3 linked regions of the Canis lupus familiaris genome follow. The protein of the gene in region 2 purifies or fractionates together with the protein of the main gene of each other region. This does not show direct contact. Links are inferred from orthologs where the notes say so. Each region holds a gene or a part of one and is shown on either strand. Other genes may lie near its edges.

Region 1 (3,387 bases), on a different chromosome or scaffold from region 2:
ACAGAAAACTACAAGGACACAAAGACATTTCTAATTTTAATGAGAAAATAAGACAAGCTAGAGTGAAAAAGAAACCTATTTTCACTACCTACTCTTTGGTACTGTTTGAATAGTTTTATTGTTTTCTTTTTTACATGTTCATGAACTACTTTTTCAAGTGGGAAAAAAAAAATCTTTGATACCAGCACTACCAGAGGACATATACTTTGTTCTTTAGTTCCACACTCAAAGTTTCACAGAAATGATTAATATAATTTTAAGTATCCTGTTTCATTCTAAATAAAATCTAAAGTTTACTTCCCAATTCTATCTTTATATTAAATACAACAAAGACACTTTGTTCTTTAACGTTTAGATAGAAGTATACTAATCCTATGTGTATTTTCATGGATAATGAAGTTTGAGTGTTCAATGGTATTAATGCTCAAGTTCTAAAAAGCCTATAAAACATCTTCTATTTTATTCTTCTATAAATAACTGGTAAAATTTCAAGTTCATAAGATATTTTCTACCATACACATTATAGAGATTTCAATGAATCCGACAGAAATAGAAATCATATAAAATACATAAACACAAAGTAGAATGACACTGCTTCTAAAAAGAAAAAAAAAAAAAAACATTAGGAAAGGTAATTCAGTTTTAATTTATTTTCATCACTTTTTCTTCATGATCCAGATATTTTAAAATGCAAAGAAAATTAACTTTCCATGATATGTCAGGGACTGGCACTAAAAAAATTTTCAGACTGCAAATGAGTTATACAAATGAAAATATCAAATGGAGATCCAGTTATCAAAATGAAAGCAGTCAACATATTAAAAGTTCACAATTATTTGTTTAGAGCACATAAAAAAGTCAGCTTGCTAACCAACTGTTGTGATTTTAAAGAACTATTGCAGAGGTTTGAAGAAAATAGATTAGTTAACTTATAAAGAGATTGAAGAGCTTGAAACAAGTATTAAAAAGAAATTTGTGCCTTTATTAGAATGGTGTTAGGCTTTAAATATACCAATTTTGGTAATCAAATTATTTATTTTTAATAAGAAATGACACTACAGAACTGCAGTATTGGTCCAACAGTCTTGTCTTTACTTTTCCTTTAAAGCAAGAAACAGGATTCGAGTAATCAGAAGCACTAGCGGGCATCAGTTAATCCAGGATACTAGCTTCTTAGTTCCAAAAGCACTTGCAAAGAAAACCATTGGGGGTACAGGGGGGTGGAAGCCATTTGTAATAACTGGAATCCCATGAGTGTGTGTGTACGCCAAGCCTCATGAGGCTGTTTTTTTTTTTTTTTTTAATTTATCCTTTACTTGGTCACTTGTTTTTCCTCAAATACTAGTTTTTCTTTGACTTTTTCCTCAAAGTATAAAAAGTATGAAATATAAACAAGCTCTTGCATTGCACACTTGGAAGTGTACAACTCAAGCATTATAGAGCTATCTACATACCGATAAATCCCATCAAATCTTGGATAATTCAATAATATACAAAATATTAGGGCACAGAAAGAACTAAAACCCACTTCTTTTTGTTACACATAAGTTTCAAATATTCAGTCTAAAGAAAAACACTTAAATCATTTTGGCTCTCCTCTACATTCACATGTTGATATACTTATTAAAATATTCCTGTATAATTATGTTTGGTCTTCTTATTTCAAGTCAGGTTTAAAACCTCAAAACCAGCCATCCAGACAAAACAGGTAATCAGAAAGATTATTTCTTCCCCACCTCCCTAACCCCAATAATTATGAAATCAATTTTACGACATGACTCCAAACACTGGATTGTGACGACAAATGCTAGGTCCAATTTCTTCATAATCCTTTTTGGTGTGGCACACTTGGTAGAACTCAGGCTGAAAATAAAAACATGTATTTTTATAAAGGTCAAAAACATGCCACCTCTTGATATGCTTTAAAAAATAGATTTGCTAAATCTAAAATGTATATTATTAGCCCACCTCAGTATTTGAACAAAGCTTAAAAATTCTAGCAACCACGACTTAAATCAGCTGTAAATCTTTATCAGAAATTAAAAATAGCATTTAACACATGTCCTAACACACATCACCCTACTTCAGCATGATTCTGAGGATTGAAAACTGATTCTCAGCACCTCAGACTATTCTGCTGAGGTTTTCCCAACCACACTGTATAATAAATCAATACTTCAAAAAAGTAGCAGTAATCTAAAATATAGATAAGGGGCACCTGAGTGGTGGAGTCACTTAAGTGTCCAATTCTTTAGGCTCAGGTCAATGATTTCAGGGTCATGGGATCAAGCCCATGTCAGACACTCTGCTGAGTGCTGAGAAGTCTGCTTCAGAGTCTCTCTCCTTTTACCTCTGCTCCCTCACTCCCTCCCCATGTGCACTCTCTAATAAATAAAATTCTTAAAATAAAATATAAACTCCTCTTAGTCATATACAAAAACTTCTAAATTAACTTGCCTTCCTCACTCAAGGTATAGACATAGGCTTGCTCTCTCTGTTAACTTCTCTCTCAAGAAGCAAATTTACAAACTCATTAGGTTATTTGGCACAAATGGAAGATGAAAACTAAGGAAGAAAATAGCTTTTACCTCCTATTTTTCAATGGTTTTAAAAATATAAGTTTGTACAATTTTCAACAATTCAGATAAAAGCTCCTTCATCTTATTTCCAGGATAAAGCACTGATATTTAATAGGTTTAATACTCTTTTTAAAGGGTTTTAAGATGTTCTGGTTTGGGGAGAGGGCTCTTAGAACAATTCACTTTACTAAACTTTGAACATCAAACTCCCTATGCAATGATCTTAATGTTTTTAAATATTTGCACAGAAAAAACTATGACTTTCTGATATCTGTATCATCACAAGATTGAAAGAATTTTCCCTACAGATAAATTTTAAAACTCTAAATGCTCACTCTAAACTGTCCAGCAATCAAAAAATAAATAAAATTGAAATAACTTCTACTTTTTAAAATACTATGCACATATATACGTATCCAATTTTAAAACTTTCTCATGGTAAATACAGATACAATTTAAAGAAATTTCCCTTGTTCTTCTAAATGGTAGAAGTACTGGTGAATTATTTTATCTGGGAAGAAAAAAATCAAATTTTAAATGTAAGCTTTATCTCACCGTGGAAGCCAGCATCGATCCTCCAAACCAAACTGCATATCGCTGCATGTGATGTGTAATGACTTGTACATCAATAGGTTTTGGCTAAAAATAACATAGTAAGAGCATTTCAACAGTAAATTCAAATAACAATTTCTGTATCATTTAACTTAAATGTATATACTTGAAAATGGAATGTTTCACATATTCAAAAAAAAGTAAATTAGAACTTTAAAAGAGGCAGGATGCACATAAAGAAAACAAGAGAAACAAA
Region 2 (2,552 bases):
CTGCTGTGGGCCCAGGGCGTGATCCTGGAGTCCCGAGATCGAGTCCCGCATGGGGCTCCCTGTGGGGAGCCTGCTTCTCCCTCTGCCTGTGTCTCTGCCCCTCTCTCTCTCTCTCTCATGAATAAATAAATAAAATCTTAAAAAAAAAAAAAAAGGATGCAAAGTGCAGTTCCATGTGCTGAAAAGGTCAGAAAAACATCTTTGCTCTTCAGAGAAGCTGGCTGTTGGTGGCTAGAAAACACAATGTTTCTTCTGTATTTAAACTTGTCAGCGTCTCGGTAAGTGTTCCTGCCACACAGCCCAAGCCAGGGCCAGGAGATGGTGACCACACCCTTCTGGGGTACACTTCCAAAAGATACCAAGTGTAGTCACACAGACTAAAGACTTTTAAAGCCTAGATCAATTATTGAATGTTTGGCACTTTATTAAATAAGCTCCAAAATTACATAGAAATCAAAGGAGTAAAACCAAAAGTTACTTGGCAAAATCTGTCTGCTTAGCAGCCAGTAGCACTGCGCCCACGCCTGAGGTACTGGTGCGGTAGGAGGGCGGTGGGACGCTCCACAGGGGCACATCCACCCCCCACATCAGTTTCTCACTCAGCACCATCCGGTTCAGTACTCACTTTACATACAGGAAACACACCACGGAGTACATACTAATAAGCCAAGAGCTTTATTGATGCAGCAGGCACTTTACAATGAACCCAAGAGAGCCCGTCTTCTCTGGGAAAACGGGATGTCTGTACAAACCCTCAGTTTTACTACTTCAAAAAAAACAAGCTCTCCCTTTTACCACAGCCCTTGGATCTGTATGTGCCCGATCATCCCTCCCCCATTTGAAATAGGCAGAGCACACAGGTACCCCGACCAACGCTGGCCAGCCACTCCAGGAGACAGTTACGATGTCAGTTCTGTGTTACTCATGGACAAAGGCATAGACTATCAGATCCTGCAAAGGATTTAGGAAACAATTTCTCCCTCCACCTTGAAAATAAAATACACTTCAGCGGATGCATGTCCTGAAATAGTTTAGTTGGGAGTTCCTAGGAAGATGGTCCATTGTCAATCCCTTCTTCATCAGCCTGTGCATCCAAAATTCTTCTCAAGGGAACATGAGTCCTTTTTTTTTTTTTTTAAACAGTCTTTCTTGCTGTAAGAACTCTTATAATGGAGCCTAGTCCTCCTACTGCTAATGCCTGTGGGGGCAGGAAAAGGAAAGGAGTCAAATGAAACCTGGCTAGCCAAGGGGTAGCCCGGCTTGCCAGGGGAGATGGGACTGGCACCCCCGGACCTAGGTCCCACCATGTCACCGATCCTCTGGAAATGGGTTCCTGCAAGAGCAGTTAGGAGGTAGCAAGAGAGCCCACATCCTAAGCACGGAGCTGGAGCCAAGGCTCCTGAAGTGCTGCTGGCTCCCAGCAGCAGAACTGGGCTTGGGAACATGGTTACCAAGCGCACACACACACAGCACAGCTCCCCCCAAGCCTCCCTTCTGACGCTGTTTCCAGGCTGCCCTCACTACCCTGGACACTTAAGATATGAGCCCATTCCAGCTGCCTCCCCAGGCCCTCCTTAGAAACGTCAGTGGGGCTCAGCACCAGGGACCACAGGGTCTGGCCTCCACACCATGCAGAGGGCTTGCTCAGTTCCGAGTAGCACAGCCACCACACCCTCCCCAAGCCCAGGAGAGTTCACCTTCCGGCTGAGCAGGCCCAGCACACCCAGCAACAGGACCAGAGGCCACCAGAAGAGCCTAGCACCGAGGCTGCCCAAGTGGCTGACCCCTCAAAACTCAACAGAGCCTTCTGGAAGGACGCAGTGTTAGTACTAGCCTGGTCTGCTATAATGATGAGCAAGCTTCCTGTACCTCTACAGGGCCGGGGGACGTTGGCACACAGGCAGGACACAGGCTAGATGAAATGCCTTGCTCTTGTATCGACCTGAGCAAAGGACAGGCACAGCTTTTTGTGCCTCAGGTGGCTGAAGGCCCTATTCGGTGAAAGCCAGGCTTCTGCCACTGCCTGCTTGGCCTAGTGAGGATGAGGCCAGAGCAGGAAGCTCCCAGCGGCAGCTGGGGGCTCAGCCTGCGTTCCTGAGACCCTCCCCAACCACCATCTCCACCAACGGGAAGCAGCTGCCTTCGCTGACGCAAAGAGAGTATTCTGAAGCCCCAGCCACAAGCAAGCCTGCCTCCCTCCCACCTGGGACTCCCTGTCTATCTCACCATGCAAGTCACCTGTGCCCATGACACGCCTGGCATAAATCAGCAGCTAAAGCAATTCCAATTACCAAAGCCAGTGAACCCTACCAGGTGCTTCTATGGAAGAAGTGAGTGGCCAGAGTCGTCCTACACTGCTGTTCGTGGAGCCCCTTACTCTCTCATGCCTCTCAGACTGTCCTCTGGCCTGCGCACGTGAACCCCAGGGTGGGGGCAAGTCAGCAGGCCACCCGTGTGGGCGGTGCATTCACATACCTTTTCGTGCCACTGGAGTAGCACAGCGCTGCTGTTTTCTGTGGGCTTCTCAAACCCTTTATAAATGTACTTCATTA
Region 3 (3,658 bases), on a different chromosome or scaffold from region 2:
TGTGGCATGAAACCAGTCATAGACACTATGATAAAAAATGAATGTGGCTGTGTTCCAATAAAACTTTATTCATAAATGCTCTACATGCAGCTCCCCCTGATCATACTCTCTTAACAACAATAACAACAAAAAGAGGCAGTGGGCCAGATTTGGCTCTCAGGCTGTAGTTTGTTGACCCATGGTATAGACTTTGGAGGAAAAACGAGAAACTAATACTGAGTCTAATATTAGGCACTATTCTGGTTTTAAATTTTTTTAAATTTTATTTATTTTTTATTTGAGAGAGAGAGAGCACAGAGTATAAGTAGGGAGGGGAGGGAAAGGGGCAGAACGAGAGGGAAAAAGACTCTCTGCTCAGCCCAGAACCAGATGTGGGACTTGATCCCAGGAACCCAGGATCATGACCTGAGTCGATGGCAGATACTTTACCAACTGAGCCACTCAGGTGCCCCACTATTCTCATTTTTTAAAGTCATACAATCTCATTCAATTTTATTTATTCTTCAGAACAACCCTGACTACCAGGTAGCTTATTATCCACACCAGAAAACTAAATTAAATATTAAAAGCTCTGTACTTTACCTTAATCTCATAGTTTTTGAAGAAGACATTGGCCTTGAAGTAATAAATGGCTTCATCCACAATATCTGTATCTTTTGCTAAACAGGACCGAAGAGGGGGGTGGAGGCAGAGAACATGAGCTAAAATATAACAATAACACTTAAAAAAGCTAGAGAGTAAACTTCCCAGCTCCATGGTCAAAGGAGTTGAGTTCCATAAAATGAGGCCACTGAAATATAATGTCTTTAGAAACAATATCTAGAAAAATAAGGATATGGTTTATTCTGATAGCTTTATTGTTTTTATAAAAAAATATTCTCATTAGGAACAAATTAACCAGTACCAAAAAACATTTTATTGTCACTCTAAATCTCACTACCTAGAAATAACTACTATTATCATTTGGTGAACATCATTCCAGACATTGAGAGATGTCTCAATGTTCATTTATAAAAATGAACTTAGGCATAGACTAAACCTTGATAAGATGCTGTTTAAATAAAAAGTATTCAATCTAATTCTATTTGAATTTATATTCTATGGTTTCAGGCGGAAAAAAACCCTCAACTATCATTTAGGAACACACTGGGCTTACACATACATCTTTCTTTTTATGAAAACCGTGCTTAAAATATACTTGTACATGCTGTTCTAGGTGGCGAGAGACTGAGAAAAGCCAGAAATGCTGTTGTGACAAAGACAGATCTCATTATACAATTTCTTTGGCAGGTTTTTGTTTTCCTTTTCTTATTTTAAAAAGGTCAAAATCCCAGGGTCTTGATATCCAGCAGCCGGTTGCAGCAATGCAGAGACAGTTTTTTGGTGGTCTTTTTTTTTTTTTTTTTTCCAGAGTTATTTATATTGTCCAATGACTGCTCTCCCTCTCACACAGAAGAAATGCAAAGTAATCCTGGAGGTTTAGTACTCTGTGATTCAGCTGTCTTTAACCCTACTCATTCCCCTGCTAAAGAACGCAACAGAATTCTAACTCTAGACTCCTGTTCTTGCAATTTTCTTATGTGCAAAAAGGAAACTTCCTCAGAAGATTCCATATTGTTTATAAAACCAGCTAGTTCTTCTAAATGTAACAATGTGGGGGTGGGGGGTGAGGAACGGGGCGGGGGTGGGCTACAAGATTCAGAACCTAGAAGGGTGTTTGGCACAGAAAGGTGCTCAAAAGGTGTCTGATGAATGTAAAGAAATGAATTTGATTAATGCTAACAGTTATTTTGCTCACAGCATAGGCCTGTACTCTTTCATAATTCCAGTTCAGTTCCAATCCTGTCCACTGGGAAAGAATAACAGGTCATTCTCTGTCTACAGAAACCATGTCCATCTGGTTTCTTGGGGTCCTGCTCTCCCTCAAGGGCCCACGAGTTGTTGCGAAGGTGGTAATTAGATACACTCCATCTCTAGTCAACTGCATCTTCTGATATGCTACATGGTATTTTGTAAAGATCTGAAAAGAGTTCTTCTCAAGGAATCTGGGCCAACATGGATTTTTTTATTCTTTCTTTGCACTGTAATTCTTTTACATTATTTTTCTTCTTTTAAATCTTTTTTTTTTTTCCCATCTGTTCCTTTTTCTTCATCTCAGAATCAAGTAAAAACTGTGGTAACTCACCAAGTTTATTTAGTTTACTGAGCTTTCAACTGGTGTTGAAAATAAACTTAAGGAGAGGTCACGTCAAATAGTCTGGCAGAGGAATGAAGATGGGGTCAGTGCAAATTGCAATGAAAACCTTAAAAACCTTGAATGGAACTCAGTGCAGATGCTTTCTGGATGCAAGGAAGCCATGTCTGCTATAATATAAATTACACTGTTGGTAGAACATCTCAGAATGTATCCAAAGAGTCTAAAAAGAAGGAGGCTTTCTGAACAGTAAGGAAATGTTTCAAAAAAAAGGGGAAGTACTAAAAAAAGAAAAGATATAAAATTCAGAAAAGCAAGAGAAACAATGTGTAATTTTACATAAGACACTTACAACTTAAGATCCAGGTACTGCTGAAAATGAAGATCCTGAAGAATGAATAAAGGAAGTAGATACAGACAGGGGAAGGAGTTAAAATGTCTTCTTTGTTTTCCTCAGCCTTACAACAGAAAAAGGATGGGGACATGGTATCCTACAGAAGTAGTAGCATTAGATCACTTTGTAAGTACTGACAGTGATGACAGAATAATGTCAAAAATAAGTAATATTTCCTCATCCCTCTCAACAAAATATTCAGAAGAACTCAGCAGCATTAATACACTTTCTTACTAGATGCAATGTATACTCCTGATCTTGAAAGGTCTAGAATGCAATATCCACCAAACAAATAGAATATCCAAGAGCAGTCTGAGACAGAGGACTGAGCTAAGAATTTGCCTGATTTGTTAATGTCAGAGAGTTGCTAGATGTTTTCTACTAAAATCTGAGAACAATAGAAAGAAGTTTTGACTTACTCTCTCTAGGGGCGGGTCCTTTGAATTGACTTCTGATAGGCAACAATGCCATGTTTCCAATGAGTTTGGTGTCAGGGTCCATGAGAGAAGAGTGGTAAGCCTGTAGTGGCAAGCCAGGTAAGAATATGGAGACAGAAAGAGAGCAAACATCAGCAGGGCACACAAGAAACATTTCTCTAAAGGGAAAAAGAAGAACCCACCCAAGACTAACCAGGAGGAGGATCAAAGGTTGGTAGCAGCAATACGCTAGAGCTGGCTTTTACTGGCTCAAGAAAACTGAATGTTAAATTTTGAGCAATTATTTTTAAAATATTTTAATTATTTATTCATGAAAGACAGAGAGAGAAAGAGAGAGAGGCAGAGACACAGGCAGAGGGAGAAGCAGGCTCCATGCAGGGAGCCTGATGTGGGACTCGATCCTGGGACTCCAGGATCACGCCCTGGGCTGAAGGCAGGTGCTAAACCGCTGGGCCACCCAGGGATTCCCAATTTTGAGCAATTAAAAAAATTATTTAAATAATCTGCACCCCACATGGGGCTCGAACTCACAACCCGGAGATCAAAAGTTGCATGCTCTTGGGATGCTTGGGTGGCTCAGAGGTTGGGCATCTGCCTTTGGCTTGGGTAGGGATCCCGGAGTTCCGGGATCAA

Evidence for each region.
Region 1: the proteins of ARPC5L (region 2) and ACTR3 purify together in Homo sapiens (affinity purification with mass spectrometry; 6 studies listed by BioGRID and IntAct, counting the BioPlex papers as one, with this or other methods). This does not show direct contact. The link is inferred for Canis lupus familiaris from reciprocal best matches to the Homo sapiens genes ARPC5L and ACTR3.
Region 3: the proteins of ARPC5L (region 2) and ARPC3 purify together in Homo sapiens (affinity purification with mass spectrometry; 7 studies listed by BioGRID and IntAct, counting the BioPlex papers as one, with this or other methods). This does not show direct contact. The link is inferred for Canis lupus familiaris from reciprocal best matches to the Homo sapiens genes ARPC5L and ARPC3.

Annotation. Positions count from the first base shown.
Region 1 is NC_049240.1:36,560,886-36,564,272, forward strand, and holds the end of ACTR3 (actin-related protein 3), read right to left. Parts: intron 3,219-3,387; coding exon 3,135-3,218; intron 1,864-3,134; coding exon 1,768-1,863; 3' UTR 627-1,767; downstream 1-626. UniProt on the Homo sapiens protein: ATP-binding component of the Arp2/3 complex, a multiprotein complex that mediates actin polymerization upon stimulation by nucleation-promoting factor (NPF).
Region 2 is NC_049230.1:58,227,339-58,229,890, forward strand, and holds the end of ARPC5L (actin-related protein 2/3 complex subunit 5-like protein), read right to left. Parts: coding exon 2,476-2,552; intron 1,199-2,475; coding exon 1,136-1,198; 3' UTR 653-1,135; downstream 1-652. UniProt on the Homo sapiens protein: May function as component of the Arp2/3 complex which is involved in regulation of actin polymerization and together with an activating nucleation-promoting factor (NPF) mediates the formation of branched actin networks.
Region 3 is NC_049247.1:8,502,065-8,505,722, forward strand, and holds part of ARPC3 (actin-related protein 2/3 complex subunit 3), read right to left. Parts: intron 3,108-3,658; coding exon 3,008-3,107; intron 702-3,007; coding exon 583-701; intron 1-582. UniProt on the Homo sapiens protein: Component of the Arp2/3 complex, a multiprotein complex that mediates actin polymerization upon stimulation by nucleation-promoting factor (NPF).